Linked DNA regions of Rhinolophus ferrumequinum. The protein of the gene in region 3 purifies or fractionates together with the protein of the main gene of each other region. This does not show direct contact. Links are inferred from orthologs where the notes say so. Each region holds a gene or a part of one and is shown on either strand. Other genes may lie near its edges.

Evidence for each region.
Region 1: the proteins of MET (region 3) and PLXNB1 purify together in Homo sapiens (co-immunoprecipitation; 3 studies listed by IntAct). This does not show direct contact. The link is inferred for Rhinolophus ferrumequinum from reciprocal best matches to the Homo sapiens genes MET and PLXNB1.
Region 2: the proteins of MET (region 3) and GAB1 purify together in Homo sapiens (affinity purification with western blotting; 3 studies listed by BioGRID and IntAct, with this or other methods). This does not show direct contact. The link is inferred for Rhinolophus ferrumequinum from reciprocal best matches to the Homo sapiens genes MET and GAB1.

What each region holds. Positions count from the first base shown.
Region 1 is NC_046300.1:7,652,010-7,662,106, reverse strand, and holds the start of PLXNB1 (plexin-B1), read right to left. Parts: upstream 4,383-10,097; 5' UTR 4,254-4,382; intron 4,112-4,253; exon of another isoform or gene 4,010-4,111; intron 3,844-4,009; exon of another isoform or gene 3,799-3,843; intron 3,518-3,798; exon of another isoform or gene 3,278-3,517; intron 1-3,277. Other genes in the region: CCDC51 (mitochondrial potassium channel), read right to left, coding at 6,511-7,266, 7,773-7,937, 8,868-9,287. UniProt on the Homo sapiens protein: Receptor for SEMA4D. Plays a role in GABAergic synapse development. Mediates SEMA4A- and SEMA4D-dependent inhibitory synapse development. Plays a role in RHOA activation and subsequent changes of the actin cytoskeleton.
Region 2 is NC_046301.1:17,748,610-17,758,753, forward strand, and holds the start of GAB1 (GRB2-associated-binding protein 1), read left to right. Parts: upstream 1-5,996; 5' UTR 5,997-6,813; coding exon 6,814-6,885; intron 6,886-10,144. UniProt on the Homo sapiens protein: Adapter protein that plays a role in intracellular signaling cascades triggered by activated receptor-type kinases. Plays a role in FGFR1 signaling. Probably involved in signaling by the epidermal growth factor receptor (EGFR) and the insulin receptor (INSR).
Region 3 is NC_046309.1:26,252,619-26,263,013, forward strand, and holds the start of MET (hepatocyte growth factor receptor), read right to left. Parts: upstream 5,005-10,395; 5' UTR 4,582-5,004; intron 1-4,581. UniProt on the Homo sapiens protein: Receptor tyrosine kinase that transduces signals from the extracellular matrix into the cytoplasm by binding to hepatocyte growth factor/HGF ligand. Regulates many physiological processes including proliferation, scattering, morphogenesis and survival.

The DNA.
Region 1 (10,097 bases), on a different chromosome or scaffold from region 3:
TCTGTCCAGAGTCCACTCTATCAAGGCACGCAGGTACATCCTCTCCATACAGGCCAGGGGCTGTCCTAGCCCAAACTGCCACTAGCACATAAGCAGACACATGCTCGCACACACAAAGCATAGGCATCACTCCGCCTGCGTGCACACACCCACACACAAGCACATGGGTGCTTACATACACACAGGTGTGCAGATACAATCTGGACACAGAAACACAGAGAGACACACGATGCTTACACATCTGCACAAAGACACATCCACATAGCGACAACCTCCTTAGACACAAAAACACACAAATCACACAAACATGCACTTTGCACAGGCACATGTCACACCCACCTACCAAAGACATACACATCACCACCATATTCAGACACCCACACATATAGATCCACGCACACTTCCCTGGTTCAAGCCCTGTCCTAGAGGGCTGTGGAAGCCAGGCCATCTCTTGCTATTTCCTCCCCTGAAGGTCAGAACAGAGCCAGGGCCCTGTGGGGGGGCGAGGGGGGGGGGCGCCGTCCTAAAAGAAGTCACCATCATGCCCAGCTGAGCGCCCAGAACTTGGGTGCCTGCTCTCTTAACAGACTCCTCCTTGTAGGCCCCAGCTAAGGCCTGCTGGAACCAAGAAACCATGACAACACCATCTTCCCCAGCCCCGGGTGGTCCCCAGCCAGGAGCACCAGGGGTTGGTGAAGTGCTCAGACAGGCTATACATTACAGGCCGGGAAACACTTCCCTTACTAGCCTGTGCCCAGGCCACGTTTCCCAGCCCCTCCCGCCATCCATCCAGCTGCCGGTCTGCCTGTAGGAGAGCTTCCCTCAGCCCAGGTCAGCTCCTCCCAGCCCAGGACCCCACGGGGCGTCCCTGGGGCTGCCCCAGAGTGAGCGGAGCTAGGCGCAAGGCACAAGGATCGGAGAAGAGGCCAGCAGCCCGGCGGGAGCAGGGGAGCCGTGGCCACAGCTCGGCTGGGCACTGCTCCCGAAATAGCTTGGGGGTTTCCATTTTTAGTGTGCAGAGAACAGGACAGCTCTATGGGAGCAAGAACAAGGCCGCCTCTGTTCACCGCCCAAGGGGGTGGGGAAGGGGGCGGCAAGGAGAGTTGTGAACCCGGCGAGAAGCCCAGGACTGTGGCAAAGCCAGGCTTCCCAGGAGCCCCCCACCTTGTTTCCAGGGGTGAGAGAAGAAAGTTTCCTCCTCTTGGAAGGCAGGGTCTGCCTGGGGACTGGCAGAGGCCACCTCCTGCTCAGGGATGCGCCTGGGGCAGACGGCCCATACTTGGACCAACACTCACTCCTTTATTCATTTGCAAACATTTGCTCAGAGCCTACTATGTGCCAAGGTTCTCTACCCCTCAAGGGGAAGCAACCAAGACACTCCCAAATGTAAAATCACAACTGGGTGGCCCACAGGAAGATGGGCGGGATCAGAACAACTCCTGGCCAGGCCAGAGGAGACTGGAGGCTGACCCACCCTGGGAAAAATGGCAGGCTTCTTCTATCTCTGAACACGGCCTGGCACCCCTTGCCCTTCCCCACATACCTCCAGTAGGGGAGGAGGAAAAGAAAGATAGTGACAATTTCTCCTCCCTTTTGGGCACTCCTATTTCATTTAACCTCTGCCACAGGCCACAGAGCAGCCCCCAGGCCCTCCCACTTCACGGGAATCCAAGCACATCCCTCCCCCGAGTCTTTGGGGCACCCTAGAGCCTGTGACAAAGGTCAAACCTCTCCAATGCCCACCCTCTTCCATCCAATCCATGCCCCATCCATCCCCCACACGTGCTCCTCATTCCTGCCGGCCTGAACTACAGGCTCTTCCCACTGCCTGGAATGCCCACTCCCTGTCTGTCCCATTAACTTGACTCCCCGCCATCATGTCCCAGGGAGCCTTCTGGGCTGCTGCGGAGCCCATCCGGTGGGTGCTGAGTTCACTGCAGCTCTGCCTTGGGCTCTGTGAGCCTCAGAGTCCCCATTTGCAGAACAGAAGGCAGTACTGCGTGCTCTGACCGCTAAACATGATACGGTGTGTGCCTGGCATTAGTGGCACCAACCAAGGGCACTTTTGCCCGTTCCACCCTTCCACTCTGGACTTGAAGTTGCTTGAAGGCAGGGCATGTGGCTTTTGATCCAGAGGCCCCAGCAACTCAGAACAGGTTAACACAGAGCAGGTGCTCCTGGTATTTTGAAAGAACCCCCTTTTCATAGCCAAGGAAACCTAGCCAATAGGGGAGATACGGGGTTTTCTAAGCTACTTGGTCTCTCCGAGGACAAGGTGTGAGCCCCACTTTTGTTAATGATCGGGCCAGAGAAGACTGAAAAGGATGGTTTGGAGCCAGGCCTCACGTGCCCAACTTGCACAGCTAGGATCTCCTGCTCACTCGGCAGATCTCAGGCCCCGTCCACACTCACAGCCACAGCCTCTCTGCCTGTGCCCAGGCCTGTGCTGAGGTCTCTTCTGGCCCACCTTTCTGTGGATCTCTTCAGCAGGGCCCAAGGCGGCCTAACTTCTGTCTGCAAAGAGCCAGCACCACCTGGGCCCTCGGGAGGCTGTCCTCACCAACCAAAGGGGCTCACAGACTCTGCCCTTCCACATCATAAGCAGCCGTCATTTCCGTGTCGCGAGTCCCGAGTCCCAGGGATCAGTGAGAAACTGGCCTTTCCTTTCGGCGATCCTGCTGGGCTCCCAGGGTCCAGCCAGAAGAGTTACTCATTGACCGTGCTGGAGCGCACACTGCTCGCCCTGTTGTCTGTGTGTTGACGTGGGGTGGGAGGATCCACCATTTACCCTGCACCCGCGAGGACTCAAGGACCGTCAGTGTACCGAGAAGGGGGGGTCCCCCTCTGGGGGTGCGTGGCAGGAGGCTCACAGTCCGCCTTGAGCGCAGCCTGGTAGGGCTGCTACTACAAGAGGGGAAGCCTCGGCTTCCCATCGGCTCTCCCCGACCCTCCTCCCTCTTCTTCGGACCGCGGGGCAAGGACCCCACCAGTGGTCCTGGGAGGGCGGGGAAGGGGCCGGCCGGTTCCAGCTGAGGCGGCGGCGAGGAGGGGGCGCGGAGGAGCAGCTCCACCTCCTCTGTCTCCCAATCGCGTTACAGGCGGAGCCGCCAGAGTTTCCCTTCGCGCGAAGAAGTGTGGTCCCAACTCTTAGGACCGAAGCCGCCCACTACTCACCCGGGCTATCCCTGCCCCGCGGGATCGAAGCCTCGGGCCCTTCACCCCGGGGTGCGCCGCCGTGCCGGGTCCCCACCGCCCCGGCCCGGGTCCCCGCACTCACCACCCGGCTGGGCCCCGCGGGACTAGTGCGCCGAGGCGGGCGCCAGCCGCTCCGGGCTCGGGAATCTGCGCGCGGCGACTTCGCTGCCCGGCCCCCCCCCCCGGAGGTGGGTCTGACGGAGCCGCAGCTGTTACCCGGAGACCGAGGGGCGGAAAACTGCGCCCGCTGCCCGCCCCTCCCGCCGCGGCGCTGCCACCGCCCGGAACAAAGGAGACAAAGCCGCGTCGTCCGGGCCCGCTCCGCTCCTTCCCCCCGCGCCCGCCGGGCCGCCCTCCCCCCGCCCGCCGCCCAGGCCAGGCCGGAAGCAGCCGGGAGAGCCGGGCGCGCGCCCCGAGCCGCCCGGGACCCCGCATTCCAACCCAGCCGGCTCTGAATTTGCAGAGGGCGGGGGACTTGACCCCTCCCCTGTGGGGGGCAGGCACCCGGGCGGTAGCCATGGCAACGCGGATCGCAGCGGGCGGTGGCGGGGAGAGTAGTGGAGCGCGGCAGCCCCACCCCGCCCCGTCCCTGCCGGGCTTTACCTGTGCTGCGCTGGAACTGGAATTGGGAGCACTTCCAGGACTGGAGGGGCGGGGATGAGGGTCGCGTTCCGCACCCCCAGGTGTGGTGGTACAGCGCGCGGTCCTATTCCTGCCCGCCAGCGCCGGGTGGGACCCACGCCCCTCACCTGCCCCGCCTGTTAGCTGGGCACCACGTCTGCCCTGCAGTGCCCCGAGCTTCCTCTTTCCATACCTGGCTCCCGTAGTCAGCCTCCTCCAACTTTCTTTACCTAGGCGCCTTGTTTCTCCCACTGCCCCGGGTCCTGCCCACTGCCCCTACTCCCTGGACTCCCAAACAGCCAACCCCTCCTTCCGGCCCCCACCTCTGGCTGTGCGGGAAGAGCGCAGCTTTTGGGGTTGGGCCTGGGTTTGCGCCATCACTAAGCCAAGTAACCTGACCCCCGCCCCCGACTATATCCACAAGCCTGTTTGCTCACCGGCAAGTGGAGGTGATACCACACCTAGCCTGGCTGTTACAGGAGGGCTCATCGGCTGTAAAAGTGCACAAGCAAGGGCGCATTTCCTTCGTTTCTCCCAGGCCTGTACCTGGATCCACCCCAAAGAGAGAAGCTTGGGCAAGTCCAGACTCCCTCACTGACGAATACCTGGGCATTAGGAGGGAGGAACCGCTGAGCCCAAGGGTTCTCTCCAGAGGCCCGTTTGTGCCCCCTGCTGGGCCCTTCTCACCTTGGCCTGCCGGTTGCAAACTCTGGAGCCAAGACCTGGCCCATCCTATTAGGACTTTTGGAGGACTTTGGCTTAAGGCCACTGGGATGGCTCCCTGGGAGAAAAAATTTGTCACATACACATCACCCTGGAAGATCCCAGAGCCTCCCCAGACTGGGAGGGGTCTCACCCACAAAGTTCAGGTCATCCATACTTGCTACTGTACAAAAAGCTAATACACAGGCACCCTCTTCCCACCTCCCCCCTCCATCAAGAGTCTGCCTTCCCTCTCATCTACCTCATGCTGCCTTCCTAATTCTCCCTCCTCAACTCCGCAGGTCACTCCCTTTCCTCCACCCCTTCCAGCACCTGGGGCCAGGCACTCAGTACCTGGTCTGCACCAGCATGGCACCCTCTCCCCAGTTCCCTCATCCCTGGCCTCTGACGGTAGACCTCAGGTCCTGCCAATCTGGCACCCCAGGTCTTACACTCCACTCCTGTACCCATCACCATCTCAGCCAGGTCAGTCGGCCCAAGTGGCTCACAGGCTTTCCTGCCTGTGATGCTTGTGGGGAGCCCTTTCCACGTGGCTGGAATCCTCCCCTCCCTAAATCCATTCACTCAAGTGCACACCCTTTAGGACCTACATCATCCAGAGGGGGACCTGGGACTTCCAAATCCCATGGTGCCCCTCATCTGATATGGCATCTCCACCCCATTGGAAGGGGAGTGTCCCAAGTGCAGAGGTCATGTCATCCCGTGCCATCCTGGCGAACCATTACAAAGAAAACAGTGCCAAGGATGAAGTGACCCAATGACCAAGGGACCAGGTGCTCAGAGGTTCATAGCACATATGGGGCCACTTGGGCCATGCTCACTGCCCAGGCCTGAGCACAGGCTCCAAAAAGGGAGGGCACCTCATGGGAAACACTTCTGGCTCCGAAGGCCTCTGCTGAGCCAGCCTGCAGAAGTCCCTACCTGCAGACCCTGTGTAGCAACTTGGTTCTCTGAAAGGTTCTCGAGGCCCACAGGTCCTCCAACACGCCGGTGGGAGTACAGAGTGCCTCCCCACTGCTCCTGTTTACTCAAGGATACACAAGGCCACGGTGGCCATTTAGCCGGGGAGGTCAAAGTTTGCCCTTTCCCTCTGCAAAGGCAGAGGTCAGTGGTTCTCAGGGCAGTCTGCCTCCATGCCCCCCACTGCACCTCCCACCTCTGGGAGGCCTCTCCCCATCACTGCCTCTCCGTTCACACTGCTGATGGGCTGAGCTCTGCCATCCCTGGGCTGTGTGTGGGAGGATACCCAGCTCTAGTGGCACACTAGTACTGCCCAAAGCTCTCTGCACCAGGGACCCAGATTGGCCACCAATCCCGGTAATTATGTCCCCAGCAATATTTATCAACCCTTCCCCCAGCCCCTCTTCCCTGCTCTCCCCTGATCATTGCTCCAGCATTAGATCCAGGAGGTTCTTCCCACCATGGCAGAGAAAGTGATCCAGAAGAGGGGCAGTAACCATGGTCACCAATGAGTGGGAAGCAGGCTAGGTTCCACTCACGGGAACGCCCAGGCCACCTGACACAGGAGGGTTGGGCAAGCGGACGGCAGGCCAGAAAATCCAAAATGAAAATCCAGGCCTCAAGGGTAAGTGTATCCAAAATGGTCCTGCACCAAGGACAAGACCAATGGAGATGAGAGAGGAACTAAATGGGGTGATTACGGTAATACCAGGCCCAACCCTCACGTCCCAAATCTCAATTTTCAACAGACAAAACTCAGTCCGATATAAATTACTTTAAATAATACAAATTCAAAGACATTTTAATTGGACACTAGCACAAAATTTTCATAATTACTGTAAATGAGCATTGCCTAAAAAGCCAAGTGTGCCTGCTAGTGAGCCACAGAGATGGTACTCAGACTCCGGCTGAGGTTGTGTGTACCCCAAAGGCTCACTTCACTGCTGGGATTCTCTAACTAAATCCGCATCCACACCCATCCCTCAGGCCCTCTGGAGGAGGGTCCAGGTGCTAGCTGGCCCTAAAAAGCATGTAGAGCACAGGCATGGTGGCTGCAATTGTCACACAGGTGACCAGCGTGCTGTAGATGGTGTTCCTGTTGACCTGGGCTTCTAGCCTCTGCTCCATGTCCGACAGCGCCAAGATCACGCCCTCCTGCTCCAGCAAGGAGCCAGGCAGCGCCCCATCTGCTGGGTCCACCAGGCCTGGATGTGCCACAGCCTTTGCAAGCTGAACCACCCCAGCTGCTTGGCTGAAAGTCTTTTCCAGGCCGTCAAGCTGCTCTCGTAAACCCTCTAGACAGGAACGGACCTGCCTGGAATGGCTGAGCTGCTCTTTCAAGGCAGCTGAAAGGACATCTGTGTCTCTGTCTCGGGCCGGGGAAGTACCTGCCTGGGACTCAGAGCTCTGCCCTGGCCCGGCTTGCACCAGGCCCCGTAGGTCCGCCATGAGGTCATGGAGGTCCCTCTGCTGGAGGGAGTAGCTGGATGCCTGTTCTCGGATGGCCTCCTGGAGGCTCACAGGCCCCTTCTGTGCCTCCAGGAGCAAGGTCTTCAGCTCCTGTAGCCGCACACGGTTCACGTAGGTGGAACCAGCCACACCAATCAGGGCGCCCAGGACTGACCCAATGAGGGACCAGTTCTTGGTTCTCTCTGCCCGAGTGCGCTCCTTCTCGTGACTTGCCCGCACGGCCGCAGAGAAGAGGGAGAACTTCTCTCGCTCAGAGTCTTCAGCACGCACATAGGCCGTGCGAAGCCTCTTCTCCTCCTGCGGAAACGAAGCGGTATGAGACAGCAGCAGTATGACCCTGCAGCTTCAGCTGCCAGCAGATGTCCCACTACCGTGTCCCTGGGGCTCAGCCCCACGCTGGGCACACATTACATGCTAATGAATGAAGGCGGCACAAATCTGGCTGGGTGGGACGAGCAGACGGTTATCGGGTGGTCGAGATGAGCGGCACTAAGCTTCTACCTGAGCAATCTCAGGAAGTGTCTGGCACTCTTGGGGCCACCCCCTCCATGGTGCTCTCTCCTCAGCAATCTGGGGCCCAAATTATACTGCCTTGGACCGTGGACCCCAGTCCTCCAGGCAGGAGGAAGTGGGTGGATGGGCTCTGGAAGCCTGGGGCCCAGTCCTTACATAGGGGCTTCCGGTTTACCTCCTCCCCAGGTCTCCGAACACCAGACAGTCAGGGTTTCCGCCCCGCCCCTCCACGACCTGCCAGGCTAGGGTCCCTGTCCAGGTGACGGAGGGCTGCCTGCCAAGGCACCTACCTGCAGCATCCTGTGCTCCAGGGTAGCCAGTTCCAGATACTGGCTGTCCTCTCTGGAGATGCGGTCCAAGCGGTCCCTCACCTCCTTCAGCTTGGCCTGCTGCCTTTGCAAGTCCTCCTGAGCCTCACGCACGAGCCCCCGAGCCACCATGAACACTTTCTCCGCCTGTGGAGAGAACAACGGAGGCCACTGCCCCTTCTCTCCATACCCACACGGGCTCCACTCTGAGGCTGTGGCTGAGAACAGGGCAGTGGGGTGTCGGTGCAAAGGGAGGAAAGACAGTCCCTCGGACACATAATCCTGGCTCACCCAGGGCTCCTGAGTGCAGCCCTGGGCCACGCCCATCAGAATCACCGGATTTATCCATTCAGGTTGAAAAAACATGCCCCTGAGAACCTCAAAAACAGCTAGGAATGCACAGTCTTTGTCCACCAAGCCCAGCCAACTCTAGTCTGACACAAACACCAGGAAGGAACCTATGAAAGATGTTTCCGTGTGTTACCTAATTTACACCTCACAACAGCCTCCATTTTGCAGATCCAGGAACCCCTCTCAACCAAGGTCATGACCTCCAAGGGGAGAGACAGCACTGTGCCTCCAAACTTCCAGTTGAAGCCCGGGTTCTTCCCACCTCACAACACTGGCCCAGGCGGCAGGAGTGGCAACAGAGGTGGCAGAATGCATTTCCACTGCCACAAATGACTTAACAAACACAGGCAGCTCTTTCAACCTCACAGAATGACATTTCCCAGGGCCTCTGCCTTCACCAGGGGTGTTTTAATTACACAGCAACCCCCAAACCATCAATGAAGGAAGTGTTTGCTGGCCTGACAGAACAGATGCTAACATCTAGGGACTCACTGGTACACAGCAACTTGTTTTCGGGGTGGGTGGAGGCACAGTTACACAGAGATCTTCACCCCAGGAGGATGTCATGTGAGCAACAGTCAAATCCCCCTCCTAATTGTATTTGTTCAAGAAAAGACAAATCAGGGTAGCTTCTCAGCCACGTGGCTGGTGACCTGCTTGGCAGGAGCCTCCAGGCTGTATTTCCCGTCAGAGGGCAGGGCCCACCACTCAGGCTCCCCTCCTCACCTCAGTCACGTTTCCCTGGGCCTCTCGAACCTCATTGAGTCCGACAAACTCTTCATATCTGTCCCACCAAGTCTTGGCTGTGGAGGACGCTCGCTGCTGAATGCCACGGCCCAGGGCTCTTCCCAGCACTGTGAGGCGGCGGTATGGCCCAAGGGCCACCTCCTCAGGGCCTTTCTCTCTCGGCTGGCTGGGGCTCGGGCTGCAGAGAGTCCTGGTCATAGAATGGTCCCTTCCAAGGAGGCCTCTCCGCACCAGCACAGGGGGCACACCCGTGACGTGCTGCATGGCGAACACAGGGCTGCACCCCGTCATCGGGAGATCTGTGGGGCACAGCAGGCAGATCAACTCGTGGCTGAGAAAGGCTGGGCATAAGTCAGGTTTCAAGACCGTGGGGCTGTTCTGAAACGACTTAACTTCCATTAAAAAGTCCAAACTTAGGGCGGCCGGATGGCTCAGTTGGTTAGAGCGCGGGCTCTGAACAATAGGGTTGCTGGTTCGATTCCCGCATGGGCCAGTGAGCTGCGCCCTCCACAACTAGATTGAAGACAACGAGCTGCTGCTGAGCTCCCAGAGGGGCGGCCAGATAGCTCAGTTGGTTAGAGTGCGAACTCTCAACAACAAGGTTGCAGGTTCAATTCCCACATGGGATGGTGGGCTGCGCCCCCTGCAACTAAAGATTGAAAATGGTGACTGGACTTGGAGCTGAGCTGCATCTTCCACAACTAGATTGAAGGACAACGACTTGGAGCTGATGGGCCCTGGAGAAACACACTGCTCCCCAATATTCCCCAATAAAAATAAAATTAAAATAAAAAATCCAAACTTAGCGCTACTCTGCGCCTGGAGACAGCCGACACTGTGGCCAGGCTTCCCCCTGGCTGCACCTGGACAGGGGACACATCAGGAAAGAACATGTGTCAGAAATCACGCCTTCCACCTTCCTCCACAACGCCACACGAACCAGACCCTCCCATTCCACCCACCTTCTCCCCATGCCCCAGGTCTCTGTTATGACTCGGATGAGAATTCTGAGGCCCAGGTTTCTGATAATGTCAAAGAAAATTCTCAAACCAGAGTTGCGCCCATACTGTCAAAGCCTCACAAAGATTGATAAAGGCTCCCGGGGTTTCGGGGACAGAGGACAACTTTTCTGAGGTTCATACTAACCCTTCTCTACCTGCCCTGCAAGCCCAGACTTTCCAACTGCCACTCACATTTCTCACTTTCCTT
Region 2 (10,144 bases), on a different chromosome or scaffold from region 3:
TGTAATATCTTCCATGTCTCTGCTTTATATGTTAAGTCATTCCTCTAGCTTCTTGAACATGGGGTATAGTTATAACAACTGTTCTGTTTTTGTTAACTAATTTTAATGTCATTTCCAGGTTGGCTTCAATTGATTTATCTCCTCATTTTGTGCCATACTTACTTGCTTTTTAAAATTTCTTGTTGGATGTCAAATATTATACATTTTATCTTGTTAGGTGTTGGATATTTTTGTTTTCCTACAAATATATGTGAGCTCTTGTTTGGGACATGATTAAATTACTTGGAAACAGTTTGATCCTGGGGGATCTTGCTGTTAAGACTTCTTAGGAAGGACCACAGCAGCGGTTAGTCTAGGGCTAGTTTTGCCCCACGATTGAGGGTATCCTTCAGGGTACTCTACAGTGCCCTGTGAATTATGTTTTTCACTCCGGCTGGGAGAATAGGAACTATTTCTACCCCGTGCCACCTCCTGGTGAGTTTTCCCTGTAATCCTTTTCAGTGGCTCTTTCCTTAATGTCAAGTGATTTCTTTACCTGCATCTGCTGATCAGTATTCAGCTGAAGACTCAAGGGGTCCACTTGAATGGGAATCTCCAGAGTTCTGATCTGAGAGCTGGGGAGAAGATCATGATTCTGATCTTGTTAATTCTGTGGAGCCAAGTGCCATATCCCGAAGACAGTTGGATTTACAGGTTGGTTGTTCAGAAGAGAGAACTGAACTGGGGATGGAAATTTGTGAAATGTCTAGGTACAGATAAACACACAGATACCACCATACATGAAAAAGTAGAGAATGAGAAGAGAGGCGGGCTAGATTTCAGAATGCCAAGGGCCAGTAAAAGAAGAGCCTGCAAAGAAATCTAAGATGGAGCAAGGAAACAGGAAGGTTCAAAACTGCAATATCTCTAAGATCAAGGGTACTGAGAGTTTTAGGAAGGAGTGACTGAGAAATATAAAGACTGAAAATTATTGTTTGATTTAGTGATGTGGGGGTCAGAGTGACCTTTTCAAGTATAAGAGAAATTGGGATGATAGCCAGAAAGAAGCAGTCTGAGGAGTGAAGGAAGATGAGAACTAGGAACAGAAACTATAGCAACACTTAATAGAAATCTGGCTGTGAAAGAAGAGAGAAAAGCTGGTAGCTAAAAAGGAATATAAGATGTAGACGTTTTTTCACATTGTTTTGTTTTAACAGAAAAGAGGTATGTTTAAAATGATACTTTGACAGAAGAAATGTATGTTGAAAATGTATAATTTAACTCAGTTTTAGAGAACTGTAATCTATTATTGCCTACAATAATTTTGTCAAATACAGTGGAACCAACTTTCATTTTAATTTTTCAATTGTTTATGCAGGATAATGCTAATATTAGGGAAGAGTTAAATAATCTGCAACTACATGTTATCAGCAACTTCACATAAGATTCTCTCTCACAATAGCTACTTTAAAGGGCATTATAGTACACTTCCATTTTAAAAAACATGTGTTTGTGTGTGTGTATGTATGAGTCTGTGTGTATGCACACCCAATCATATCATGGTGGTATAAAGCAAAAATTGGCAAACTATGGCCCTTGGCCAAATCTGTCTTGCCACTTGTTTTTGTAAATAAAGTTTTATTTGAACACACACATGCACATAGTGATGGAAAGAATTACATTGAGAATGGAGTATTTAGATATAAAAAGATCATTTACAGGGTGAGGTTCTTGAGACAGTGCAATGGGATGAAATTCAAAGTATAAGTGGAGAGATTGGCCTTTCACAGGCGAAAAGCAATGTCCTTATTTGCCATAGGAAGCGGAAGAGTAAGAGGAGTGAAGATAGTATGTAGGTTTGCATGTTTGATGTTTGATGGCTAGAAGTCAAAGGAGTTTCCATTTGAGCACTTTGGTTTTCTGGGGAAGCTATAAGAAAGATAGTCAGTTGATGGGAAAAGTAGAGGGTTTGAAAATTTGAGAAATCTGAAGAAAGTTTAAGAGTTATTGTAAGCATTATTCATTATAGCCAAAAATTAGAAACAAGCCAAATGCCCATCAACTGATAAATGGGTAAATAAAATGTGTTGTATCCATACAATCGAATATTGTTTAACAATAGAAAATGAAGTACTGATACATGCTACAACCTGCACAAACCTTTAAAACTTATGCTAACTGAAAGAAGCTAGTCACAAAATGTCACAAATTGTATGTTGCCACTTATGTGAAATGTTCAAAAGAGGCAAATCCATAGAAGCAGAAAGATTAGTGGTTCTCAGGGGCTGAGAGGGAAGGGGGAATGAGAATGGAGTTTTTATTTGGGGCAATGAAATATTCTGAAATTAGTGGTGTGGTTGAAGAATTTTATGAACATACTAAAAACCATTGAATTGTACACTTGAAAAAATGTGAATTTTATGGCCTATGAATTATACCTCAATAAAGCTGTTATTTAAAAAGAAAAGTTATTTCAGAGGGTAGACTAGTGAGTGTACTGTCCAAATAAATGAAGTAGGATTGCTGACTAGCAGAGACATCCATGAAGCTAATGAATCTTCAGCTCGGAGCCACTCATTGCACAGGCCCCCAGGAGAATAGGGAGCTGATGGGAAAGGTGCAGTGTGCTGCTTGGGAGGGGAAGCCAGGATGCACTCAGGAAACATATCCATGGGAGGATTCTGGTAAATCATCACAGAGATCTCAAAAGAAATGCATCTGTAGTCCTAGGCTCCAATCATTTGTTATTTATTTTCTCATTCTAAATACACTTTCATCCTAATTTTATATTTGTAATTGTATATTCTTTTCCTTTAAAAGAACTTCCCAAACCGTATAAGCTTCAGGTCCCAGAAGACCAAGATCTGCCTGTGCTGATAGCTGAGGAGCTATTGGAGGTCATTAAATGTGAATTTTTTAGTGGTGTCACTCATGCGTAACTTGCTCCAGCATCACTTGATGCAGGAGAAAGCAGACTGGGGTTCATTCAGAGTTGGGGTTTTGTGAGTTTGGTGTATGTTATTAAAAATATGGACCATAAAATTTAAACTGGATAAGGGGTGAAGAAAGGAGAGGTCTGATGGATCATGAGAAAGCAGAGGTATCAACAGGCTGCAAAAGCTGTTGAGAAGAAAGATTATATTGGAAAAACTTGAAAGATCAAGTTGAAGATATCTGGTTAAAGTGGGATGCTGGAGGTGAATAATAAAGCCCATAGAGGCAATTGTTGGAGGTGATTTGAAGGTCACAGGAAATGACGTGGTCATTTGCTCTAAGGAAAAGTCCAAACTCTGAGATCTCCAGGGGTCTGCACAATCCTTCCCTTGCCTGCCTCTGGAACCTCACCCTCTCACCCAGTGTCCCCTCTCACTCGCCCCACTGCTGCTGTCTTTTAGGTACTCAGGAGCTCCCTCCAGCCTGACTTGTAACCTAGTAGTTTCTCTTTTGTCTAGAACACTCTTCTCCACAACGTGGCCAGGCCAACTTGTACTCATCCTGAGAACCTCAGTTTAAAGTCTTTTCCAAAGGAAGTCTTTCCTAACCTGCTCACTCTCCTTCCATGGAGGGTAGACCCGGTTATACACCCAAATAACACACTCTATTTTTTTTTCTTTCATAACATTTATTAATTGTATTATAGAAGTTATGGGGTTAATTATCTTAAAACCTTTTTTTTCCAGGATAGAGGACTACGGGAACATGTCTGGCTTTCCTCCCTATCGTATCTGTGGTCCTCAGGGACTTATACATACTAGGATATTCCATAAATGTTTGTTGTAGGAATGAAATTTAAAATACTTATGTATAATAGCTTTTTCCAGCATATCTTTTAGATATAAAAGGTAACAGATAATCGAAAAATGGCATATGATGTAAAATAATGCAACTGTCTTGTCTAAAATACATACATGGAGACGTATCTATTGTCAACCTCTCCTCAACCCTTATTTGGTCTCTAGAAATTCTCATCTAAATCAGAGTCAATGATATGGAAAAATATTTAAAGATTTCTTATATAGAAATGAGATAACTGAATCCCTTCTTTGAAATATATATATATATATATATATATATATATATATATTTAATTATTGGAGCTTCCAAAAGCTAAATAGTACAAGATACATTACGATTTTTCTTTCAAAACAACTTTAGAACAGGAGTGGAGACAGTGGTAAATAAAAGCCAACAGTTAACTAAGCAAGGGTGGACCCGTCTTACCAAAGTTAATTATAAATGCTTTTGACTTGGTGTAGACACACTGCCTATGGGAGAAGTGAAAACAAATTCGATGATTTATTTTGGCCTGTGGCAAAATTTGTGTTCACATACCATTTCCCTGAAAATAAGACCTAGCAGACCCAGTCTTATAGTAAAATAAGACCAGATCTTATATTAATTTTTGCTCCAAAAGATACATTAGAGCTGATTGTCCAGCTAGGTCTTATTTTCCGGGAAACACGGTACGTAAAAAGAAATTATTTTGGTTCATTAGCTGCCATAAAAATTACTCACTTGTGTTCTTAAAAAACCCTTACAACAAACATCTTGCTTGTTCTTTCTCTCTCAGTCCTCCTTACGGTTATGCCTTTTATTCTTCCACAAAACGAGTCTAGTTCTCTCTTTACAACGTCTTTCAAATATCGGGCTAAATGCCTCCTCAAGGAATACTTATCTCTTATCCTATCTAACCTAGTTCCATCCCATTGTTCTTTCACCTTATCGGGTTTATTTCCCTCACGGCACAACATTTATCACAATCTGTACTCCATAGACCTTTCACTTTTTTACTCTCCTATGCCACCACGGGAGTGTCACCTCCATGAGTGTAGGAACTTGTGTATATCGCCACCCCAGCACTTAATTTCCTACTATAATTTTACATTTTCAAACTCAGAGGAAGTCCTGAATATGAACGTGTGTAAATAAGAAAACGCCTGAGGTTGTTTCCAGAAATGTTCACTTATCTCCTAATATTTTAGTATTTTTATCTGATTATTTATGTTACCTTCTAAAATTTGTGTTGGGGCTTAGTTTTTCATAAATAAGTTGGAAAAGATATTTCTATTACAGGATCATGTTAATCTCAGGACCAGGTATCATAATTGTAAAACACACACAAGTAGGCAAATAGAACTAGGACATCCAGTAACTTGCCCTTTTCTCGTCCAACATCCCAAAGGGAGACTTTAAACAAATACAAAGTCAAGTGGAAAAAACTGGCAACAAATGGAGGGAGTGTGAGGCTTTACAGTGTCCCAGAGATTGACTCAATCGAATCCTTTGGCCCCTCTAAGAGATCCCACCACTCTGGCAGGGCTGCTCGGGGGACCAGACCACGCTAGCCCGGGTGGGTCCTTCTGTCCTCCCCTTCAGGCAGGTATCTATGGCGCGCTCCCACGCGCCCTCCGCCCTCGGCCCTTCGGTTTCCCAGGCAGGAATCGGCGGGGTCGCTGCCTCCCCAAGGCTCTGCGGTCGCCCTACCGGCTCTTTTACTTTGCAGGCTGTCAAATAGAGAAAACTTCCCGAACTCCAGATCTCATGCAGTAGTACAAACTCCGAACTGACACCCGGGTGAGCCAAGATGGTAAACACTCGAACGTTCCTCACTCTCCCCGCGCCCAAGTCTCAACAGCGATGGCCTTGCCGAGGCTACTCCTCCCGTCCCCAGCACAGAGCGGGCTGGGGGCTCCGGCCGCCACCGCCACTGGGAGGCGGAGGACCCCGCTCCAGCTTCCAGAACTACAGATCCCAGGGTGCCTCTCGGACTCCCGTTCCCTCCCTCTCTCGCTCCCTCCTCCTTTTTTCCCCTCCCCCCTGGCCCTTGTTGTTTTGGCTGGAAGCCCTCGGGCGGAGTTTCAGAGAAAGTCTGGGCAGAAACCGGAGCCGGCCCCAACGTGGGAAGGGGAGGAGAAAAGGGAGGAAGAGGGAGTCGGGAGCGGGAGGGATCGGGGCCGTGGGCCGGGCGGCTCAGAATCTGCCGCTGGCCCCGGGTGGGGGAGGCGGCGCCGAAGGAGCGCAAGGGGACGGGACAGTGGGATCCATCCCCAGAGCCGAGAAGCCGAGCGCCTGGTTCCTCCCCGCTCCCCGCCCTCTTCGGCGGCCGCGAGCGTGAACCCACCCTCCGGCGAAACCTGCTGGGTCCCTAGCGCCTGCCGCCCTGCGCTGCCCAGCGCTTGGCGGCCGACTCAGGACCTACCCTGCGCCCACTGCCCACCGGACCCTCGCAGTTTTCCCTTTCCTCCCCGCTTCCCGGGCGTGCGGGGCAGTGACCCGCCATCCTCCGACGAGGGCGAAGGGGAGGATTGTCCCGGGCGCACCGAAACCGAGAGCGGGCAAGCTGGAGTGGACGCTGCGCGGGGCATTGTGTGTGTGAGTGTGTGTGTGCGCGTGCAGCATAGTGTCTTTCGGAAAGCACTCTGGGGAGGTCCTGTCCCTAGGGGGCGGAGCGCAGGGGACCGAGGCTCCTGCTCCGGGCCGGGGCAGAGTCCCACGGATCCCGATCGCTGCTGAGGAGGCCGCGGGACGGGGCGCCTGGCTGGAAGGCGGACGCCGTGAAGGGAGGCCGGGGCGCCCTCGGTCCGGGGACTGCCCCTGCTCCGAGGTGTCGGCCTCCGCGGCGCAGCCCGTTTCTGTTCAAGTTCGCGGATCTGCGAGAGAGAGCCTCGGACGCGGAGAGCCGGCACTCCTAGTAGCCCGCCCGCTCCGTCGGCCCGAGCTGCGCGACCGGAGAGCGAGGTCCCAGCGTCTGCGCTACCGGCAGGCGTCGACTGTATCGGGATCGCGCCCGCCCGCCCCTCTGCTGCCCGGGCCGGAGCCCGAGAGGCGCGCACCATGAGCGGCGGCGAAGTGGTCTGCTCGGGATGGCTTCGCAAGTCCCCCCCGGAGAAAAAGTTGAAGCGTTATGTAAGTACAGTTTCGGCGGGTGCTCCACGGGCCTCGGTGCCCACACCTCTCTCTGGCAGCTGCAGCTGGCCGCGCGCGGGGCTGGTTGGACCCCATCTCTTTCCCCTCGGCCCCTTTGGGACCGAGTCTGTACACTCATGTTCTGGCCTCCACTTTGACGGGCAACTTTCTTCAGACTCCAGACGCCTGCTTTGCGGGCCTCTTCAGCCCAGAGGAGGGCCCGGCATTTCCAGCTAAACGCCCGCTGCATGTTTTTATTATTCCTTTTAGCAGCGGTGGGGAGAAGAGCATTCTCCTTCCTTTATATCTGCATCTAATCATTATGGGGCTGCTGTGTACTACATTTCTCGCACTAGGAAATTCGCTGAGAATGTAGAACTCACCAGCCCTCTCTTTGGTCCGTACACCCTCTTGCCTTCCCCTGGAGGTAGATTGCGAGAAGCGGGCTGTGGACCTGGATAGTTGGTTTAGAGTTAGACGCAAGCATCTCCAATCCGCGAAAAGAAGAAGAATGAGAAGTTATTACGCGCTCTACCGTTTGCTTTGCAGGGTTCACATTTTCGCGGTTTTGAATCCAGCAACATTGGAGTTTGGCCCTAGAGCCTTAGCAGCTTGCTGCGAGAGGAGGGCGCTGGGGGGAGCCTGGTGGCTGGTGTTTGGGTGCCTTGGACACGCTGTCAAGCCCCGCAGGAGGGGACAGCTGAGGCCAGGAAGGATTTCTGTGGTCCTTTTCCAGGCCACCAGAGTTGCTTAAATGGTATTTGTGTAAGTGGTACAAGATGACGATTATGTGTTAAACCGTTTTAGGTGTTATGGAAAACATTCCTTGAAAGAACCAACCTTACTTTGGTGGAAATCTGTGTCCTCTTCCGGGGACTGGGATTTTATCCTGTTTTCCCCCGTGGGTCCTTTTGTTGCTGCCCCCCTGCTAAGGAAAGAAATGACACTATTGCCCTGGCATATGGAGCAAATTTTTTTTAGTCAAATGTGTTTCAAAAGCAAAATTTAATATATAAATATATATTAAATATATATTAAATATAAATTGACTACCAAGGGACCGACACCGCTAATGGAACCTGTTTCTTGTTGAAGGATATTTAACCCAATATTAGACTGGGGTTAATCCTGTTAGTCACTGTTTGCCAAAGAATGGAGTGAAGTGCAGTATTTAGCTTCACTGAGAATTGACCAGTGAATTTCTGGTTTACTTTCTGCCATAATTGTTATAACAATTCTCATTTAAGGACTTGATGCCACACATCCTAAGAAAGTTTGCCAGAAGTTTTGAATCCTTCCAAATCCTGTCTCTCCACCTATCACAGTTTGCATTACTATCCTGGTAAAAATGCTAATTTTATTTCAAACATTTGGGAGAGGCAGTGGTTTTTTTCAGCTCTTAGTTTTAAACAGAAGGATGTATGTGTGTAAGAAGAGAGAGCAGGGAGTTAGAAAGAGGTATTTGTTTTGAGAAGGCACAGTTTGGGAAAGATGTAAACCTAAATGGTTGGGTTCTTCGGGGAACTAAAGTACAATACATTTGCCGAAATAGGTAGTGGCGATAGAGGTTTAATGTATTCTTTCACATAGTTGGTCTATGGTTCTCTCAAAAGATGCTGTGTACTGGGCTACGAATCATAAGATTAGGAAATACAGTAGGAGAAAAGCCCCATCTCTTGGACTTGCAATTTAATGTAATATAAACCAGAAAGAAAATCGGCCAAAAAATTATCTTAAAAGGGACAAAAGAAAAAAGGAAAGTCTAAATTAAAAAAAAATATTATTTCATTTAATCATCCCAAAGTTTTATGAGGTAGGTATTATCTCTGTTTTTCAGATAAGAAAACAGTCTGCATTACCAGAATGTGCCAGAGGCAGGATTTGAACCCATATCTGCCTGACTGACTGGGCTGTAAGAGGTTAACGAGTCTCATCCAGTTCATTTCAAGTGGAGCTCAGACTAGATCATCTCTAAAGGTCCTCTTAGATTATAACTTTCTAGGAGTCTATGAATATTCAGAATACAAGGAGAAGGTCAGGTGCGGATCAGACGTGCACTGCTAATGACACATGAGACCCTTCAGGCAGCTTTCTGAGTCTTCAAGAAGATGAGACAAGTACAATGTAAAGTGGTTTCTGATTGTGTGCCCACGCTGAATGCTGTGGTTTTATGTTTGTTTTTTAATAGTTGTTTTGAGGAATAAGCTTAGTGTAGTCGGAAAATATAATACTTGAGAGAGACATTAGTCTCCCTAAGTTGTGTTTTCAACAGGGAGAAGAATCTGCCTAACAGCTGGAGGGAGGCTGAGTTTTTCTTGCCCAGCCAAGTATTCGTGTTTTCTTTACACATTAATGAAGTGCATGGGGATAGCCCAGGAAGATAGTGGGCAGCGTGGCTCTCAGGATTGAGGGGTCCAAGAAGGCGACTGGGGGATTACAAGTTAAAATGAGGCTGATCGTATAGTTTCGCTGTCAAGTTGGTTGCCCAGAAGATTTCGAAATTCCCAGATTATTGATCTTGTGGCTTTGGTATACAGTTTAGGTTGCTTTTGCTAAGCCAATTTCAACCCTCAAAGATATAGTCAATGAATTTATGCATTTCCTGTGCTTGAGTTTCTTTTCATGTAAAATCTTGATTTTCTGGATAGAAGGAAACATTGTTAGCCACCCAACAGGCAAAATGTTGCTTGATAATGGTTTTTAATGAATGGATTTGCTGTGAAAAGATACTTGGATTCATGGTACTATAATTGTTAATTGAGACTTCAGAGAATTTGAGCATTGATTCTGTTGGGAAACATTTGGTCCATGGGACTTTGACAGTTGTCTTGCTGTTTACAGTATTTATAGGGTAGTCCAAACATTCATTAAGATGATCCATAAGGGCTTTTAAGTGACAAAAAAAATGTTTTAGTTTTATCTTTAAAGTCATCTCAAGTTATGGCCCCAGTGTGTTCCATTTACAACTCCATTTTATATTTACTGTTTGATAGTCTACTCAGGCAGTGTTGTTTTTGCATACTAGTGTGTTCATCTGATATGGAAGCTTTCCTTGAATTTCCTAAATAGAGTGAAAGTGGCATAAAAGAAAGTGAGAGAAAGACGGCAATGGTTAGCGGATTCCCTAGGCTTTATGTCTCTTCTTCACTTTTTCTATATTTACTTGCAAAAGGGTAAGAAAGTACTTTTTTTTTAATTAAAGTTTATTGGGGTGACAATTGTTAGTAAAGTAACATAGATTTCAGGTGTACAATTCTGT
Region 3 (10,395 bases):
GGCTTTTTCTGAGCAGGTTGTTGGTCCCTAGTGAAAGGGTTAGTTTCACTCATTCAGGTTAGCTGTTTGCAAATCTCGATACAGGATACAGACAGCGCATAAGAAAGAAGGAAGAAAAGACAAAGAAAATCCAACACAATAGTTTCTCACAAGAAAGGGGTATTGAAGGTGACAGAGAAAAGAAAGAAGTGCACAGCAGACAGAAGCTTATACCATCAACTGCCTCCCTTGCTGTCCCCGGATTTATGCTATGGAAGGGATCTGTGACGAAAGCTATCGGCATTACTCTCAACAAATCCCATTGGGCCAGGCTCACAGCAGAGAAGGAGGAAAATTGTCCAAAGGGAGCAATATCCCTGATCAAGGATGGAGTCTAGGGATGGGACGAGGCAAATGGAGGAAAACACCATGGGTTCTCTTCTTCCATACCCCATAAACCAGGGGATGTGGGCCACAACTTCAAATTCAGGTGCATCCCATTAGAAAACCAGAGACCTCATGTACAGCTGTGCAGGCTGTGGACTGCACAATTCACAGAAAATAAAATGAGAATGGCACTCGTGAGGAATGCAAAGTAGAAGCCCTGCTCCAAATCACCAGATGGGTCGCTTTCTCGTCTCTTTCAGGCTCTAGCTCAAAAGCCCCCTGTGAAGTGCGGCCCTCTCTGACCCCACGACTGGATTTTCAATCACCACTCCATCCCCATATCCTTGACAGTACCTACTCCCCTTCATCACGTTATGCGTCCTTTTAGCTCTTATCAGTACCTCATACGCAACACATTTTATTTACATATTGTATTTATTGTTTGCCGTCCTCAATATAGAACAGAACATCATAAAGTTAGATACTTTCGTCTATTTTATTCTCTGCTGCATTGCCTATTCCTGGTAGGTGCACAACAAATTATCCCGAATGACTAAACCCTCAACCACAGTCTTAGAGTACAGGAACTTAGCTTTCATTACAACCCGTGATTCTCTTTATCACATTATATAATTGCTTTGACCACATTTCATAATAATCCTTTATTATATTTGGAGAAATACATTTTCAAATCCTATGGACCATTATATAATTTATATGGCTCATAAGCTCTTATATAATTTCTATAGGCCTTTTAGCTACATAATTTATTACAGAAATTAAAAACAACAGGAGTATCCTCCATAAACATATTTGCACAAATTCACACAATCACAGAAGAAATATGTATACCTGGGTATGTAATTAGCAAGTTAACTTTTTAAAAAATTTTCACTGTGTTTACACCTCCTGCTACAAATGCCACACACATGATTTTTCTCTCAATTATGTTTTACAGCTTATAAAAACACTTTTTTATTTTGTCCCTTAAAAAGCAAAGTAGTCAGATTTTACTGGATGTTTTTATTGAAACAAATCCCAAGGGGAATATACTCTGTTAAACAGAGCTGAAGAGAGATCTGAGAATGGGATTTCTGATAGAAGGGGAGATCACAAAATTACTCACAACTCTTAATCTGATAATAGGAGAATGCCCCACACATATGAACGGAGCCTTTCTTGGTATGCTTTACTACAAAAAGAGAACACAAGGAAAAGAGAACTGTAGAAAGAGAAGGTGAGAAAAACCTCAGAGCCTGGAAATGTATATTCATCATTTATTACTAACCTAAAGACGCCAACCTATTTCTCAGTGGAAATGGCTTCAAATAGTTAACCTTCCCTGATGTCTGGGCAGAGGCTGTGGGTGCTGTTGAGACAGCATGGGGACCAGGCTCAAGCACACACTTGTGTCGTCTGTCACATGTGAGGTTAAGATATTGCCTATCTGGTAAGGCTGTTGTGGCATCTGAAAGATGACATACTCAAAAGCAGCTTGAAAATTTTAAGAGGTCTTTAAGTTTCAATCTTTTGATTGAAAAAAATTCTACTATTTAATAGCAAATGGGGTGATTTCTAACGATGACATTCTCGTGGGACATCCCCTTAATAACTATGGTTCTTGTTTCCTTTTTATATGTGTATTATTTATCTGTATATCTAGACCGTAAATGCCTCCAGGGCAGCATTTCTTCCTCTTTAAAAATGTCTCCCTAATACCAAAAACATATGATACTTATGTGCAGTTCTTATTGGTGAGGGAAATGTGGGCCTTGCTGCAACTCAGTGTCTGTTAAATCAAAGTGATGCTGAATTGACACGAGTCAGTATACACATCATTTATTACTAAGAGGTGACTGTTTATTTTGCATTGAAAAAATTCTGTCCTGAAGGCTCAGAGTCAAAGACAACAGTTTCAACATACACCAGGGAGGTGCACTCCCTGGCACTTGAATTTCTGCATATTTTTTCCCCTGAAGGTAGCACCGTTAGAAAACTTGGGGTCCCATGAACAAAGACAGAAACCCAAGGAAAATATTAGGGATGACGGGGAAAAGAAAGCATAGATGGTTCTGGTGAGAGTCATTAGGTGTAATGACAGTGAAGAGGAAACCATGAGAACTGAGTGGACAAATGGGGGCACAAAAGGTTTTGGAAGGAGCTCTGACCAAACCAAGGGGAAAGGCTGAGCAGGAAGCGGGTGGGGAGATGGGAGGTGCTCAGCATGTGTAGGGAGCTGGGTACTCGTCATGGCGCGTCACCAGAGGCGCTGCTGCATCCTCTTAGAGAAAGGTGCGTGTCCTGAGAAAATTCACTGTAGTCTGCGATGACCACATTTGAGAAAAAGTTTATTTGAGGTTATTATACAGATTTGTTAAAGGAAAATTAGACTAATGCTATTTTGGACTTTTTTGTTTTACTAACAGCTAAGAAAATTGATTTCTGAAATGTGTCTCTTAGTCTAATCCTCACTAAAACAAACCAAAAAAAATCAAGATTATTAGTGGAACACATGCTTATATAGTCTTAAAATGAATTTGTAAGATAAAGGTATTTTTTCCTGCTTAGGAAAGTGTCACTTTTCTTTTATTGTAGATTTAAAAGTCATGAAAATACTAGTTACGAGCTTTCATATGGGCTGTGGCTAATATTGTACATCTTTATCATTCAGATAAATCTCATCCACTAATTCTGAAGGCATGGGGTGTACATCTAATGTAAAGCCCTATTGTGATGTATCAAGAACAAAGCAATCTTTGAAAAAGCTGTAGTCAGCAGACCATCTTCTATATGCCATAAATTCCATTATGTTAAAATAAAAATGTATTTAGGTTAATAACTGTAGTCTTATGCACTGATAAGTGTGAAACCTGAACAGATTTTTAAAAACACCAGTATATTTTGTAGGCAATCAGACACATTTTTGTACTACAGAAATTCCTTATAAGTGATGTAAATTTTACCTGTGTTATTCAGCAGTTCAGAAAGAGTGAACACTGAATACACCACAGAATTAACTGGAACCAAAGCACCTCACTTTTGTTCCATTACGGAAGTTTACATGTTAAAACAAAGTCTAATAAGCTTAGAGCTAGACAGTAAAGAAACCTATGTACCTGTAAATAATCCAGGCACCACTTACACTTTACATAAAAGCACAATTTATGCCCCAGTAGCACAGAGAAACACAATGTACATCATTCTCAGATCATCTTCATGCAGAAAAAAATCATTAGTCAGCTATAATAGTTTAGCTGTAAAGGAGAATAATGTTTTTCTGAATCCATTTGCATGGCAATATACATGTGTCTGGCTGATGGAAACAAGAGAATAAACCTCCATCCAACTCTACAAAATGTGAACAGTCTTCTTAAAATTCAGGAGACGGTCCAGATAGTCTACACTCTCTCCAATGTCCGTTTTTACAATCCTCCTATATTCGTCGACCATCTTAACTTGGCAATTAAAGTATGCTGATTATTTTGCCTAAGAGAGTTGACAATATTTCATTCTACCCCAGGGCTCCTTTGAACATAAAACTGTGATAAGAAAAAATACATTGGGCAACTATTCATGCATGAACCACTGGAACCCTCTTCAACTGCCAAATCTGTAAATGGCTCTTTTAAAACATGAAAGGTATGAAATGGGAAACCGTACTCTGGAGTAAATTCTGCATTGGCAATAGTCAGTAAGATTACTTTCATTAGTGCTTTTATGATTGGGTCAGTAACAGTACTGGCCAGACTACCGACCTCTGGTTATAACCTATTTCGCCTAATAAGATATATGCCCTCCCCAGAGCTCCAGCAAAGAGCTAAGGTACAATTGAAAATGATGGATCACAAGTCCTGTGTATTTGCCAGACATGAACAATTCAGACCTTCACAGAAACACCTGTCCCTTGGAAGGACTCCCACTAATACAGATAAAGCAGGGCTGGGGATAAGGAAACCTCTGGCTTTCAACCTTGCCAGCTGCATCACCGTGGGACAGGGTGACCAGGTCCCTCTCTTAAGGGATGAGTCAGATTGCAGTCTTGAAACTGGCCTGGCCATAAACAGTCATATATCACCCCCTCCCCAGCGCTCCTCTCTCCTGAGTCATACAGGTGGCCGGCAGAAGCGACCCCCTAAAACGAATAGCCCCATTCCAGTTTCGACCTCCCCCAGACCACATCCCTTGAGTTTCTGGAGCCTCTGAACTCTCGCCTACCTCTCTGGTCTCGTCTTCCGCACGCAACAGCAGTCAGGTCTCTTACGGGAACAAAGAGAGCAGAAGCGCGAGGGGTGGAGTGCGGGATCGGAAGAGGGTGTAGTTTACCTTGCGGGGCCCGGGAACCCGCGGCCGAGAAGTCCGTGGCCAGGGACCACCCGCGCACTCCGTGCCTCCCCGCCGCCTCCTCGCAGCGAGTCAGCTGTCGTCCCGCATCTGGCTCGCGCCCTCCGCTGGGCTCCGCATCTGGTCACAAAGCGCTCGGCCAGAGCCTCGGGTCACCTGCGGCCCGGCCCGCGAGCGGCGCTCCCGGCGGCGCTCCCTCCGCCTCTTCCCACCCGCGCCCGACCGTCCGTGACTCAGCCGGGAATGGGCGCGCGCACCGCCCGCGGAGGCCCGGGCACGTCCAGGCGGGAGGCACGGCCCTGCCACCCGACCCAGGCGCTCGGCCTCCCGCCCGCCCCAGCACGTGTCCGTCTGTCTGGCGCTCTGTCCGTCCGCCTAGTCCGCGGGTTCAAAGACCGCTGAGGTGAGGACTGGCACCACCCACAGGGGGAAATCGCCCCCGCCCTTCCTGCCGCCGCGCGCCGCGCCTGGCCCCACGGGGGTCGCGTTTCCTCCCAGCCCTCCCCCGCCCACGACAAGGTGAAACTTTCTAGGTGGAGAAGTTTTCTCGCCCTGGCCGCGCTCTCCTCCCCCAGCGCGGGCAGTTAGAAGTTCGCACAGCGGCAGATAAGCGGCACCGCGTCTCCCCCTCCTGGTGCTCGCGGGGCGAGCGTCGCCCGCGCGCACGGACCCCCGCGCCCACACTCCGCGCCACCCGCGGGAAGCGCGCGAGGCTCTGCCCGTCCCGCGTCCCGGTTAACCACCGGGCACTGACCCGGGTAGGGAAAGGTTTGGGCACCACGGAAACAAGGAATTCATTGTCAGAGACGGAGGTCAGAGTGGAGAGAAGAATTGTCCCAATGATCTCATTAGGCAGCGATTATCCCCTACTATAATAACTCGGATTTCTGGAAGGAAGAACAATGCAGGAGTGTAACCCCGAGGAAACCTCAGTTTCTTTAAGGTTTTTTTCTTTCTTTTTTCTTTTTTTTTCCCCCACAGCAGGAAACAGGCTGATTAAATAACTAGGCAAACATCAATGAACAAGCAAAACAGAACAAAAGTTTAATTCTTGAGTGTTGAAATCTTATGATTAAAAAAAGATTTGAGGGCTTGGTGAGTTGTGTTAGTATCAATTGTTTTAGGATAACTTTTTATATCTCACATGTCTTAATGTAAAAATTGACATTACCCTTCAAAAGAAAATAAATACTCAAAGTTAAAGAGACCTGAGCAGCAGTGTCCTCCTTTCTGACTCCTACAGGCTTGTTGGGATAATGGCATCGGTTAGTTATTGAAGTCATGGGACAATTTACAACTTACTATGCAGGTTCAGGAATTATTTACCTACAGAATGAAAAATAGAAAAATATAGTAAGAACAGTTAGCGTTTTCCTGAGAGCTTATGATGTGCCCCTTTACCAGGGACTGCACACTGCAGTTTCAATCCTAAAAAGTGATTACCTCATGATTCCTTAATTTTATGGAAAAGGGATGTTCCCGTTACATAACAGTAGAGCCCTGCATTGAAACATTTTGCAAATGAGGAAACTGATTGCCTAAGAGTCCTAACAGGGTCACACAGCTGGTTAGTATGAGAAGACAGGTTAGAACCCAGCCCTCAATTCCAGTCAAGGGTTCTTCATACTGCAAGAGGCCTCAGCCTGGCAGGGCTAAATAAACAATGCAGTCCTACCCAACATTTGCTGATATCACATGGCATAATTTAACAATGACTATGGTTTATATCAAAATGCTGATTTAGTGACTGGAGGACATTGAGTCTGGTATGGACAAATCAATTATAGATTTGGGGTTCAGTATGAACTTTCAATAAAAGGTGAATAAACTGACGAATTATTTCAGACACACACACACACACACACACACACACACACACACACGAATAATTAGCCATAGTTGTCCAAAGGAATGATTAGAGTGCTGTTTCTATTTCCTGGTTTCCATAGCAATATGTTAACTGGATTTTAGATTGTATTATGTAGTTGCCTTAACAGGTTTTCTGAGTTTGTCTGCCATGATAAAAATATAAAAGAAAAAAATTACAACTAAAGTGGTAGAAAGACCTAGACAAACCATTGCAAACTGGAAAATAAAATAGATTATAAACTCAAATAACATATATTTTCAGCACTGAAGTTTCCTAGTTTCTAGTTATTGACAAGTTTCAATCCAGTTTTGAAACGGTATAAAAATCGTCATTTTGATTTATTAACCATAAATAAGGAGATAACATTTTATAAAAATAACTAAGAAGAGCATAACTAAGAATCTCTCTGTGTGTGAAAAATCGAATAATTAAGTTTAAACAACACCTAGATAGGTTTGATCAGGAAAGGGGTAAAAGTAATTTCAAATATTTGGAAATGGATACAAGCAGATCTTTTAAAAAGGCAACAGGAGTTCTACCATTCAGTTTTGGTTTTGTGGCAAACTTCAATTGTTGCTGTTTCACTTTTCATGATACAGTGTGTCCATGACATGGGTGACACACTGTATGATGAAGTTCTGTTGGCATTTCCCTAACCAAACCAAACCCCTGTGGTTGGCTAAGCCAACACCTGTTCCCAAACCAGATACTCCCTTGCCTGTCTCCACTTCTGGAGCTGGAAAACAGAAAGCTGACTTTCCCAGACTCCTTTGTAGCCAAACAAGGCCACGTGATGTCATTCTGGCAGTGAGGTTAAGCTGAGATCTGTCGAGCACATCTATGAAAGAGTGTGGTGTCCTGATGAAAAGGACCTAATACGCTGCTGCCAGCCCTTCTCACTTCTTGCTTTCTTGATTTCATATGTAACGTCCAGCAGAGAGCTAGCAATTTTGTGAATGAGGAGAGAAGTTGGGTCTGACATTGCTGAGCTACAGCGCCAGTACTTCCAGATTTCTTGCTTTGTGGAAAAATACTTGTTCGAGACACTGTTAGCTGGGGTTTCTGTCACCTGTGTCCAAAAAACATTTAAAATTGATATACCCCTCAAATGGGGAGCAAGATATCTCCAAGACTGAGTTTAGCATTGTAGCTAAGAATGTGGGTTTTAGAGCCAGACAGCCTGGATTGAAATCCCAGTTCTGAGGTTGCTAGCTGTGTAACTACAGGCCAGTGGCATCAGCTCTCTGTGCCTTATCTATAAAATGGGAATAATAATAGGATGACTGTGAGGATGAAATGAGGAGCTACGAGGAAAGCATGTGGAAGGAGCCCTGGTAAAATATAAGGGCTCGAAAGGCATGAGCTATCCTTATCCACATACTTGTGGATAACATACTGTGTTTCCCTGAAAATAAGACTGTCGTGCAGGGCGGCCTGCAGGGTCTCAGCTCCGGCTCCCCACATAAGAACGCAGCATATGGTAAAGCCAAAAAGGAACATCCACGGAGCCATAGGTAGGGGAGTCAGACCACTATGGTCTCACTGGAGGCTGGATTCACACGATGTGCGACCTGCTGTCCACTTTTCTGCCAACCGACCGACTCCACTAGACTCACCAACCAGTGTAGCTGCGGCAGTTATATCAGCAGCCAATTGGCTCAAGGGTTACAGCTGACGGCCAACTAGCCAGAGCTGACGGCCATCTACTACCCGAGCCAGCACCCCTCCACGTGAGGCCGAGAGCTTGGAAACTGCTCTCTGGGGCTCTGTCCCCACAAAGACCTAACCAGAAAATAAGCCTTAGCATGATTTTTCAGGATGACATCCCCTGAACATAAGCCCTAATGTGTCTTTTGGAGCAAGAATTACTATAAGACCCGGTCTTATTTTCAGGGAAACACAGTAGTGCCAAACTATCCACAGGATCCCACCTCTTCACCCTACGATGGACCCAGTGGTAGCCATGGTCAGTAGAGAGGAACAGCAGTGTCTTGCCGCATCCTTTCTGCTCTCCCTTCATCACATGGAAATTTGCATCTTAGAAGGTACTCTTTCTTTAAGTTCATTCACATGGTGCTGTTTTTGAAACAAAAGTGAAAGCTGTCTTAGAACAGGGGCTTAACCTGGCAACCTGTGGAAGGCAGGGCCACAGAAACACACGGGCCCACAGTGTTTTTTAAAAGCTGGAATCACTGTGGCCAGAACCTGTGTTCTGCAGTTTGCTGTTGTCCTACCATCTTCTCTTGTAATGCATCCAGCATCCCAATGATCTTGATGTCACCTTATCCTACAGGACTTGTAAGCATTAGGATTTGTGACACCTGTCTTAGAGTATTTATTCTTGGATTCTCTCTCTCTGTTCTTCCCTCTCCCCAACTCTCCCCGTTACCCCTATTACTCTGCTTATGGAAAATGTCGCCACAAAAGGACAAGAAGAGTAATTCAGGTGATGGTTCCTCAAGTAATTTCTGTGGGCAAATACATTTTGGGGATGTAGGAATCTTTTTACCTTTTAGAGATACATTATCTGCATCAGAATATTGAAGATTCTGAAAATACACAGGGAAAAACAGAACAACAACAACAAAAGACACGCTTTTTTTTTCCGTCTTAACAGTTTCAGTAGCAATTTTCCTTAAAATTAGTTTAATAGGTAACATACTTTGGGAAACCTCGCCTTAAAGAATGGAAATGCCAGCCATAAAGGGTTAGAACAGGGCAATTTCCATATGAACTGCTTTTATGTTGATTTATATTGGTCATTTGGTTGTGGCTGGGTTATCTAAAAATAAAATATGCAACATTAAGTTATCTAAAAATATGACTAAGCTTATTTGATATCTTGGACAAGTAAAAGACGGCTATGCTCTTGAAGCTACAAGTGTCCCAATTTTACTCAGGAAGCCTAGGAAACTGGATGCAGGAAAATTAAAAATAAATTACCATCTCCAACAGGGTGCAGCGATTTTGTTAGTGATTTGGTTCATTTTCACATTCAGCTTATACCTCTCTTATAAAACACACGGTATAATGAAGGTATAATGTATTTAGCTCCCATTTATTAAATGTCTACCATGGATCAGTCATGTGTTTGAATCCTACTTATGTCCTCATAACAAACTCCAGGAAGGTATCATGCTCTAGTTTACATCCAGGGAAAGGAGGCTCAGAGAGATCATGTGATTCATCCAAGGTCACAACAGCTGGCCTCAGTCTGGCTCTTTCCAAAACTCCGCTTCCCTTGGCAACTGTTTACTAACTGGTCCTCCTGCTCTGGTGAGCCGTGCAGTCATTTAACAGAGACCAGTAGCACTTAAGCCTTCTTGTTTTCCCTTCTTCTCTGCCACTTAAGGCATGGCACCTCTGTTTGTTTGCCTTGGGGACTGGTTGTTGCAGTGCAGAATAAACCTTTGTTGCCCATCTGTAAAGCACTGTGCATTTTGGAACACGGGTCCCAAGCAGTCTGAGTGTCCTGGGGGTGGGCTGTAGGTGAGTATGACCACAACGTCCCCCACGTGGAAAGGAACTGGAATGTTCTTTCCCCATTGTCTGTGTTTTCACAACCCCTGAGCTCTTCATTGGGACTTAGGGAAGGTGAGAGAGAAAGGGAAGGCCCAGGTAATGAAGCCTGGAGTCGTTAAGAGACGGTCTTTTGGAGTCTCTGAAATAAAGGCAACAACGTCCAGAAAGGCTGCCCTCGTAATTCTCCTATCAATACTTCATGAAGCCATGTTCATTTCTTTTCCTTTTGTTTTCTGTTCTTGTCTTTTCCTTTTCTGTCTTTTACCTTGTGGTAAATTGTAAAAGCATTTTGGGAA